Ovis aries: one gene and its partner. The protein of the gene in region 1 binds, or shares a complex with, the protein of each later gene. Links are inferred from orthologs where the notes say so. Each region holds a gene or a part of one and is shown on either strand. Other genes may lie near its edges.

What was found.
Region 2: the proteins of RBSN (region 1) and RAB4A are in contact, whole or in part, in a crystal structure (PDB 1Z0K), measured with the Homo sapiens proteins. The link is inferred for Ovis aries from reciprocal best matches to the Homo sapiens genes RBSN and RAB4A. Residues at the interface, in NP_001289307.1 of Homo sapiens: Glu441, Gly442, Trp443, Leu444, Pro445, Ser447, Glu454, Pro458, Leu459, Gln461, Gln462, Asn465, Ile466, Phe469, Asp480, Glu481, Thr484, Leu485, Asn488, Leu492, Glu495, Gln499; in NP_004569.2 of Homo sapiens: Tyr10, Leu30, His31, Ile34, Glu35, Ile46, Gly47, Val48, Glu49, Phe50, Gly51, Ser52, Lys53, Lys63, Gln65, Trp67, Arg74, Phe75, Ser77, Val78, Ser81, Tyr82.

Annotation. Positions count from the first base shown.
Region 1 is NC_056072.1:57,112,414-57,116,215, forward strand, and holds part of RBSN (rabenosyn-5), read left to right. Parts: intron 1-52; coding exon 53-214; intron 215-1,490; coding exon 1,491-1,732; intron 1,733-2,977; coding exon 2,978-3,048; intron 3,049-3,802. UniProt on the Homo sapiens protein: Rab4/Rab5 effector protein acting in early endocytic membrane fusion and membrane trafficking of recycling endosomes. Required for endosome fusion either homotypically or with clathrin coated vesicles.
Region 2 is NC_056078.1:776,951-781,245, reverse strand, and holds the start of RAB4A (ras-related protein Rab-4A), read right to left. Parts: upstream 2,906-4,295; coding exon 2,875-2,905; intron 1-2,874. UniProt on the Homo sapiens protein: The small GTPases Rab are key regulators of intracellular membrane trafficking, from the formation of transport vesicles to their fusion with membranes.

The DNA of each region.
Region 1 (3,802 bases):
TAAAATGGCCTCCTTTTGTGTGTGCTCGGTTTCTGTCTCATTCTTCCCACAGCAATAGAAAAGTCCGTGGTGCCTTGGGTCAACGACCAGGACGTCCCTTTCTGTCCGGACTGCGGGAATAAGTTCAGCATCCGCAGCCGCCGCCACCACTGCCGCCTCTGCGGGTCTATCATGTGCAAGAAGTGCATGGAGCTCATCAGCCTTCCCTTGGCGAGTAGGTGACGTGGGGGCAGCCTGGACCCTCACCTCCTGTAGAGACCAGCCCCCACTGGGGGGCTGGGGGTGCTTTTTGTTTCGGTATTTGGTCCATGGGACCTTCCATTTACTGTTGATTCCTTGAGGCCCACTACAGCCTTGGCCCTGTGCTAGGGCCCAGGGGAGCAATGGTCTGTAGTAGAGGTTGGCCAGCTTTTCCCATAAGAGACCAGATAGTGAGTACTTTAGGCTTTGTGGCCCACATCCTGTCTCTGTGACATTTCTTCTTTATTACACAGCCTTTTTGAAGTGTGAAAACCATAGGTAGCTTGAGGGCCACATACGAAGCCAGGCAGACTTGGCTCGCCGGTCGTTGTTTGCCCACATGTGGTCTATCAGCATCGTCCATTCCTCCAGGGTAGGAGGAACCCAGTGGCCCAGGACTTTGAATCTCAGCTGGTGAAAAGTTGCTGGAGATGATCTCAAGGCATTCTGGCTGACTCTGGGATGTGTGGGGGTTTTGCAACCCTGCAGAGTTCCGGTGATGCATGTGCTGTTGGCTGCAGGGCATCTGGGTAATGTGGGAAGGGGCAGATGTTTCCTGGGTGGGGCTCTGGTGTCCAGTGGGCACGTGTCACCTTGGTAAGTTCCCTTTCACCCCAAGACGACTCCCTGTCTTAGCTGAGCTATGTTCTGGGGACACGCTTCATCTTCCTTCTCTTGGGCTGATTAACTGATATTTACTGGGCAGCTGCTGTGCGGTAGCCCTACTGGAACAAACCCATAGGGATGCAAAGATGAATGAGACAGTCTGTGCCCTCGGAATCACAACTGCTTGGGCAGCTCTGGGCTGTGCATAGAGCTGTCATCACACGGAACAAGTGGGAAGTGCCCCAGGAGGAGTGACATGGTGGGAACTGATAGGTGGGCAAATGGTTTTTACCTCAAGGAATTGAGGAAGGCTTCCTGGAGGATGTGCCATTTGAGCTGAGATTTGGCAGGGGTAGCAGTGGGGTTTGGGCATGGGGGAAGGCTGCGGGGGCGGTCCCAGGGAGAGCCTGGGTGTGTCCGGGCAGCTGGAGCAGGGCAGGAGGTGGTAAGGCCAGATTGGGGTGAGCCTCAGAGCTTCAAGGACAGACTGTCCTTGGCTCCTGGCTGTCTCCTGGAGGCACTGGGCGTCCAGCCCACCGCAGAGCCTGAGTCCTGGCAGGCAGAGGTGTGGGTGCCTCTTGCCCGGGGCAGCGTCTGCACCCCGCCTGTGGAGTTCACCACTGCCCATCCTGTGTTCTTTACAGACAAGCTCACCAGTGCCAGCAAGGACTCCCTGAGCGCTCACACCAGCCCCAGCCAGTCACCCAACAGCGTCCACGGCTCCCGCCGGGGCAGCATCAGCAGTGTGAGCAGCGTGAGCTCCGTCCTGGATGAGAAGGACGATGACCGGATCCGCTGCTGCACACACTGCAAGGACACGCTCCTCAAGAGGGAGCAGCAGATCGACGAGAAGCAGCGCACGCCCGACGTCGTGAGGCTCTACGAGGTGATTCCGGGCCGGCTTGAGTCCAGTTCCAGAGGCCGGGCTCTTCGTTATGTGCACGCCCGTGGATTTTGAAAAATGCTTTGGGAAATCGTTCCTTTCAGTTACTTTTAGTTTCTGCCAGAGGGCACTAGCTGGGGCCCTGCGTGAGTCGCAGAGTCACTGGGTGTGTTGCAACAAACTTGCTTCCTTGCCCTTCCCTGCCCACCTGAGAGTTGGAGGTTGGCGCTTTCGGTGGCCCAGGGGCAAGAGGAGGAAGGCTGGTTGCCATGCGGTATGGACAGGTTCTGTGGGTCAGAGCGGGAGCAGGAGCTGGTGGTGAATAGTGGACCAGAAGGGTCCTGGGACACTCACGTGGGAGTTTGAGAAACTTCCCAGAAGCACAGAGCTTCCTCTTTTGAGTCCCTTCAAATGCCTCAGCTCCGGTTACCACCAGCAACCCTGCAGTGCCTTGAGGAGCTGCTGCGTTACAGGAGCAGAGTGTAGCCAGAGCCTGCGGTTCAGAGTCAGACTGGGCATGAGCTTGACTCTGCCTCCTAACTGGGATGAGGCCTGCAGGCTGAGAAGGATGAGCCAGGAGGGTGTTGGGCAGGGAGGTGATAGGAAATGGGGAGGAGCGGAAGGAAGCAGTTGGTGCAAAACCGGACAGGGGAGAAGAGAGTTTTTGTCTGGTCATCACTGAATGGTCACTATTAGCAGCTCTGTGGGCCCCAGTGGTTGTGTTTCTGGAACCACAGTGAAAATAGTCAGACTACTAGAAATGGTGTTAATTAAAACCTTGCTGAGCTGCAGACGTAGCTGTTGTCCATTGTTATGTGGAGCTCACGATCTGATAATTTCTGTAAACAGCCGCTAAGCTTTTGGTTTCCTTCTTTTTTGAAGTGAGCCCTGGCAATGCCTTGTGTGGTGTCTAACGTCACCTGGCAGATAAAGGCCATAGCAACTGATTTCTTTTGCTACCTTGGTGAGCTCACATGACGTGTGTCCTGGAGGGCCTTGGTCCTCTCAAAAACATCTGGCCAAAGTTCACCCTTCTTTCCTTCCTACAAGATTTCCTTGTAGAGTAGGTCTATAAACCAGGAAATTGATAACAATGAACAGGACAAAACTAAAAGCCACTCTCTGCATTTTTTTTTTTAAATTTAGAAAACTGCACATTTTATATACATCTCCATTGATTCCGCATAACCTTTTTGTTGCCTTTTCTGTATCTTGAGACACAACTCACCTCTTCTTTTTTGTTCTTAGAAATTACGGCTTTGCATGGAGAAAGTTGACCAAAAAGCTCCTGAATACATCAAGATGGCAGCATCGTTAAAGTAAGCTCTTCCTCTCTGTTTTACTGACTCAGTGGTGACTGTTTTCTGGCATTCTGGTCAATTCTTTAGTAGCTGAAGATGTAGGCCCTGCCCTTTTCCCTTCAGTCCTTGCAGCGAGACGCTGCAGCCCCTTGCAGCAGACAGTGGAAGCGCGGGGAGCCCTGTTTCTTGAGTCCTCTCAGCCCCACTGTCCCCGACTACCCCCATATACCTGCGCCTCCTGCGTCCCAGCCCTCCTGTCTCCACTCCTTGCTCGAGACCACTGGCTCTGAAGGAGAGCAGGAAAAGCCCAGTCCCTTCTCCGCCTGCAGTTCACTGAGTGGTCACTTCACTCAGCGGGTCCCACTGCCCTCCTGGGAGCAGCTGGGAAGAAGCGTAAACCTCCCCGGAACGGAGAGTCCTTGACTGGGAGCGTCTGCCGCGTGCTCCTTTCCTCCCTGGAACTCACTGGAGGCCACGTGCCCTCCTCCCTCCCCTGCCCGTGGGTTTAAAATTAGAGGAGGCCTTCCTTCTACCTGGACGCCAGCAACATCAGCTGGTGTTCCTGGCAGTGAGCTGGCATCCAGCCCTTTCCTCAGGACATTGTCACCCTAGGGCCTCCTCTCCCAGAGTCCCGTTGGGTTTTTGCTCTGTGCCTTAGACACCATTGTGGGTCCGTGGGCTCTCCGCTAGCCAGAGGGGAGCTACCACTGCTGAGCGCATTTCCAGGCGTGTTAACTCTTCCTCCAGAGACCAGTTCTGAGGGGCTTCAGCA
Region 2 (4,295 bases), on another chromosome or scaffold:
GCAGCATACAATCACACATTTTAAAAAGAAAATATCCTGATAATTCTCAAAATTATATGGTAAATACTGTAATATTTTCGAACTAAAGCACAAAATAAAAATATTAAGAGTCCATTGTAATAAAGCTAGTACAGGACCAACAATTTGTGTTCTTGCTTCATAAATTGTCATGGTAGAATGCATAAATTACAGTGTGTATAGAGATTTGGCTTAGATTTTTTTCCTCATTCTCAAACTGCCCCAGCCCTTAAATCTTTTTTTTTTTTTTTAATTTCTAGCATCTTCTATACCACTTATACTTTTTAGCTCCTTTCTGAACATCACTGCTTGATATTAATATTTGATTTGTGAGTTTTTGTCTCACAAATCTTGGTATCAGAAATCACCTAAAGCCAATCTGTGATCAGCCAATCGATCTCCTTGGGAAGTCCCAAGCCACATCAACTGGCCAGGCCTTTAAGAATGCTGTGAATTTAACGGTATTTGTGAAGCACTGTTTAGGGATAATCAGCCGGAGCTTTCAGTCAGAAACCGGTATGTTTGAGATTTCAATGTTGTATTGCAATATTACATAAAGTATTACATAAGGTATGGTATTCATGTGGTTGGTGTTTCTGGAGCAGCAAAATGTTGAACACCAGTCACTGGAAGGTGAAACACTGCCTTAAGAAGCTAAAAGGCATGCGGACACAGCTCATGAACGTGTACTCATTAACAGTATACTGGTAAGCAATAGTTCTTCGTTTTTCATCATATCCCTGGCCAACTACAGAGATTCCTTTTCCAGAAGAGAGAAAGTGAGCACAGAGTACTAAGGAGTTTAAAGATTAGGAAAACATTCCTTTACCATCTACCTAACAGGCAAACGTCTGAAAGGAGGGAAACTGTTTTCCATCTGGGAAACAATGCTATGCAAATCTACCAATGATAAGTGAAGGTGATTGCTTGGTTTGGGGTGACTTTTATTTTGGGTTAGCACTGTGAAGTGCCACACTGCTCTTGCTAAAACTAAATTTCTATGTGTTTCACTTAATTTCTTCTATTAGAGGGAAGGACTACAATTAGTAAAAACTAAAAACATATTTGGAAGCCACCATGAAAGAAGAGGAATAAAGGTCAAAGCCTGATGAACAGAATTTGATCAGTTGACCTGTGATGCTCGATGAGCTCTGTCTGAAATGGAGACACCATCTTTTATCAAGGTTATCATTTCATACAAAATATGGTGTCTCCACTTCAGAGGAAATGGCAATCCACTCCAAAATTCTTGCCTCAAGAATCCCATGGACAGAGGAGCCTGGCAGGCTACAGTCCATTGGGTCACAAAGAGTCAGACACGACTGAAGCAATTTAGCATGCATGTTTCACATGAGACAGATGAAACATAAAAGCTCCATCTTTCAGTCCTCCTCCTAACTCGTAACCCCACTTGGTTTCTTACTTGGACTTTCCACTGCTCCCATGTGCTCCTTCTCCAGGTCAGAGAGGGAAAAAAAAGCGTGGGGAAAGGAGCACTTGAAAAATAAAGAAAAAGCAAAAGCATAACCAACACTTGCTGGAGAAATGGATTTTTTTTTTTTTTTTTTAGGAAATCTGACTATGGTTCTCTATAGAGAGGCAGACCACGTGGATGTGGCAAGTACAGTAACATTAGAAGCTCTGACAACACTGATCCTTACAAGCCAGGGGTGTGGTTTCCGACTCCCTAAACCTTCTAGGAATAGCTGTCTTGCTCCCAGTGTTACCAAGAACAAGGCAGGTACCAGGCACAGGAGTGGCTGAAGGTGGAGCAAATGCCTGGGTGCTTGAGGGGCCTCAGCCACAGTCCTCTTACAGGCATCCTGGATCCCTCAGGGCCTGGGCACTTGTAGACCAGTTAATGCCTCCGTGCCTCAGGTCTGAGTCACATTTCTTTTTAACATACCTTCAGAGACCATATTCCTTCAGAACTCCAGCCTGGGTTTTTTTTTTTTTTAATATTCACTAGTATCATAAGTGGATTAACACTGTATCCCCCAATGGACTAGCTTGCCAAGACCAGAACAGTGCAGGAGGGTACCTTGCACTGTTGGAAACCACACCAGCCCGTAAAGCCGGTCCACACCTATCTGCTGACAGAAAGGGGCAGCACGCCAGGGCACACGGAAGAAGACATGACGAATTTGACTAGAGGTAATGTTTTTGAACTCGAGCCCCTCCCTGGGGCTGTAAAATCAAAATCAGACTTAATCTGAGAATGCCCAATCTCAGAGTGACTCCAGACTGGTAAACACTAGTAAACCTTGATACAAAGCAGAGATGTACTCTATTGTTTATTTTTACCACGCAGGACAAAAACACACAGATTATGAATTGGGAAGGCTTTCGTTTATTTAAAAAAAAAAATGTCTGCTGGCTGCCTTCGGGTGTGAGTGCTACAGAAGAAGCAAAGATCAAGCAGAACAGGCTCTGCTTCCGAGGTGTTTATAGTCTTGCAAAGATACATTTATAAACAGCCACCATACAGCTTGAAAGGTCTCGGAAGGAAGAAATGCCTGTCCATAAGTCCTTGTAATTTGCGTGCAAAGGAAGGAATTTCAAGCAAGGAAAGGTCAAAGTGGAAGAGTCGAAGAACACACTCAACTGCAGGCGTCGTCCCAAGTCCTTCACATCCCTCGCTGGGGACAGCATCGCAGTCTCTAATGGGCTTCCCTAAACCCTGAACTAACATCAGACCAAGAAACGGAAACCCTACCGGCAAGTACGCGGAGAAGCAGCAGGCAGACCCTCGGAGAAGCAGATCACATAGCCGGGCTACCCTCGGGCGGCCGCGCCCCAGCACTGGGATCCCGGTCCCCACGCCCCCGGCCCCGGCCCGCGCCCCCCGCCCCGTACCGTAGGTCTCGGACATGGCCGTCTGCGACATCTTGGGAGCGGCTCCGCCTCTCGCGGGGCGCCGCTGCGGCTCCGCCGGGCCGGCGGCAGGGAGGCCGGGGAGTCGGCCGCGCCTCGGTGGGGAACGCGAGGGGCAGCGAAGCGGAGGAGGGAGGGGCCCGCGGTCCCCGCGGCAACTGCCGGCCCCCAGCTGCTGCGGCCCCGCCGGACTGCGGGCTCCGCGCAGGCGCACGGCCCCGCCCCGCTGTCCGGGCGCGGAGGGGAGGGGAGGGGAGGGGCGGCCGGGAGGGGAGGGGAGGGGCGGTGGGGAGGGGAGGGGAGGGGCGGCCGGGAGGGGAGGGGAGGGGAGGGGCGGCGGGGAGGGGAGGGGAGGGGCGGCCGGGAGGGGAGGGGAGGGAGGGGCGGCCGGGAGGGGAGGGGAGGGGAGAGGCGGCCGGGAGGGGAGGGGAGGGGCGGCGGGGAGGGGAGGGGCGGGGCGTCGGGGAGGGGAGGGGCGGGGACCCGGCGCTCGCTGGGGGCGCGCGGGGAGGGAAGGGGAGGGGAGGGGCGGCGGGGAGGGGAGGGGCGGGGCGTCGGGGAGGGGAGGGGAGGGGCGGCGGGGAGGGGAGGGGAGGGGCGGGGCGGCCGGGAGGGGAGGGGCGGGGCGGCGGGGAGGGGAGGGGCGGAGACCCGGCGCTCGCTGGGGGGCGCGCGCGGGCCGGCTGGGGCGGGGCCGGCCGTGGGGCGCAGCGGAGCCGGGGCGGGGCGCAGCGGAGCCGGGGCGGGGCGCAGCGGAGCCGGGGCGGGGCGCAGCGGAGCCGGGGCGGGGCGCAGCGGAGCCGGGGCGGGGCGCAGCGGAGCCGGGGCGGGGCGCAGCGGAGCCGGGGCGGGGCGCAGCGGAGCCGGGGCGGGGCGCGCGGGGGCGGGCGGCCCCTGCGGTGGCTGCAGGGGTGGGGAGCCGTCGGCGGCCCGCAGGCCCGGAGGTGACCGGGAGGGGCTGGGGGTGTCCGGGGCTGAGCATCACGGTCCGCTCCCGCACAGAGGAGGCTGAGTGCCCGCCTCGGAGAGGCAGGCCGCCCTTTGCCAGGTGGGCCGCCTCCGCAAAGACGTGGCCGTCGTCATCTGGGGCACTCGGCCAACGAAGGACTTCCTCTGAGCTGCAATGATCAACCCGGGTCGGGGTGAATGTGTAACTAGGCGGCGGCGGCCGCAGGTGTCCAGCGGGAGGCCAGCGCTGCCGGCTGGGAGGCAGGCTGACCTGCCGGGGATGGAGCTTTCACTCCTGACCCGCGGGGGCCTCGCCGGTGGGGCTGAGCTGGCGTCTGGGGAAAGCTGACAAAATCTCAGGATGTACCTGTGCCGAAGAGTCCCTAGAAAACTGTAGTCGTCGCCCCTCCGCACTCCACTTTAGGGGAATGTGGCTTTGGACAGGAAGCATCTCT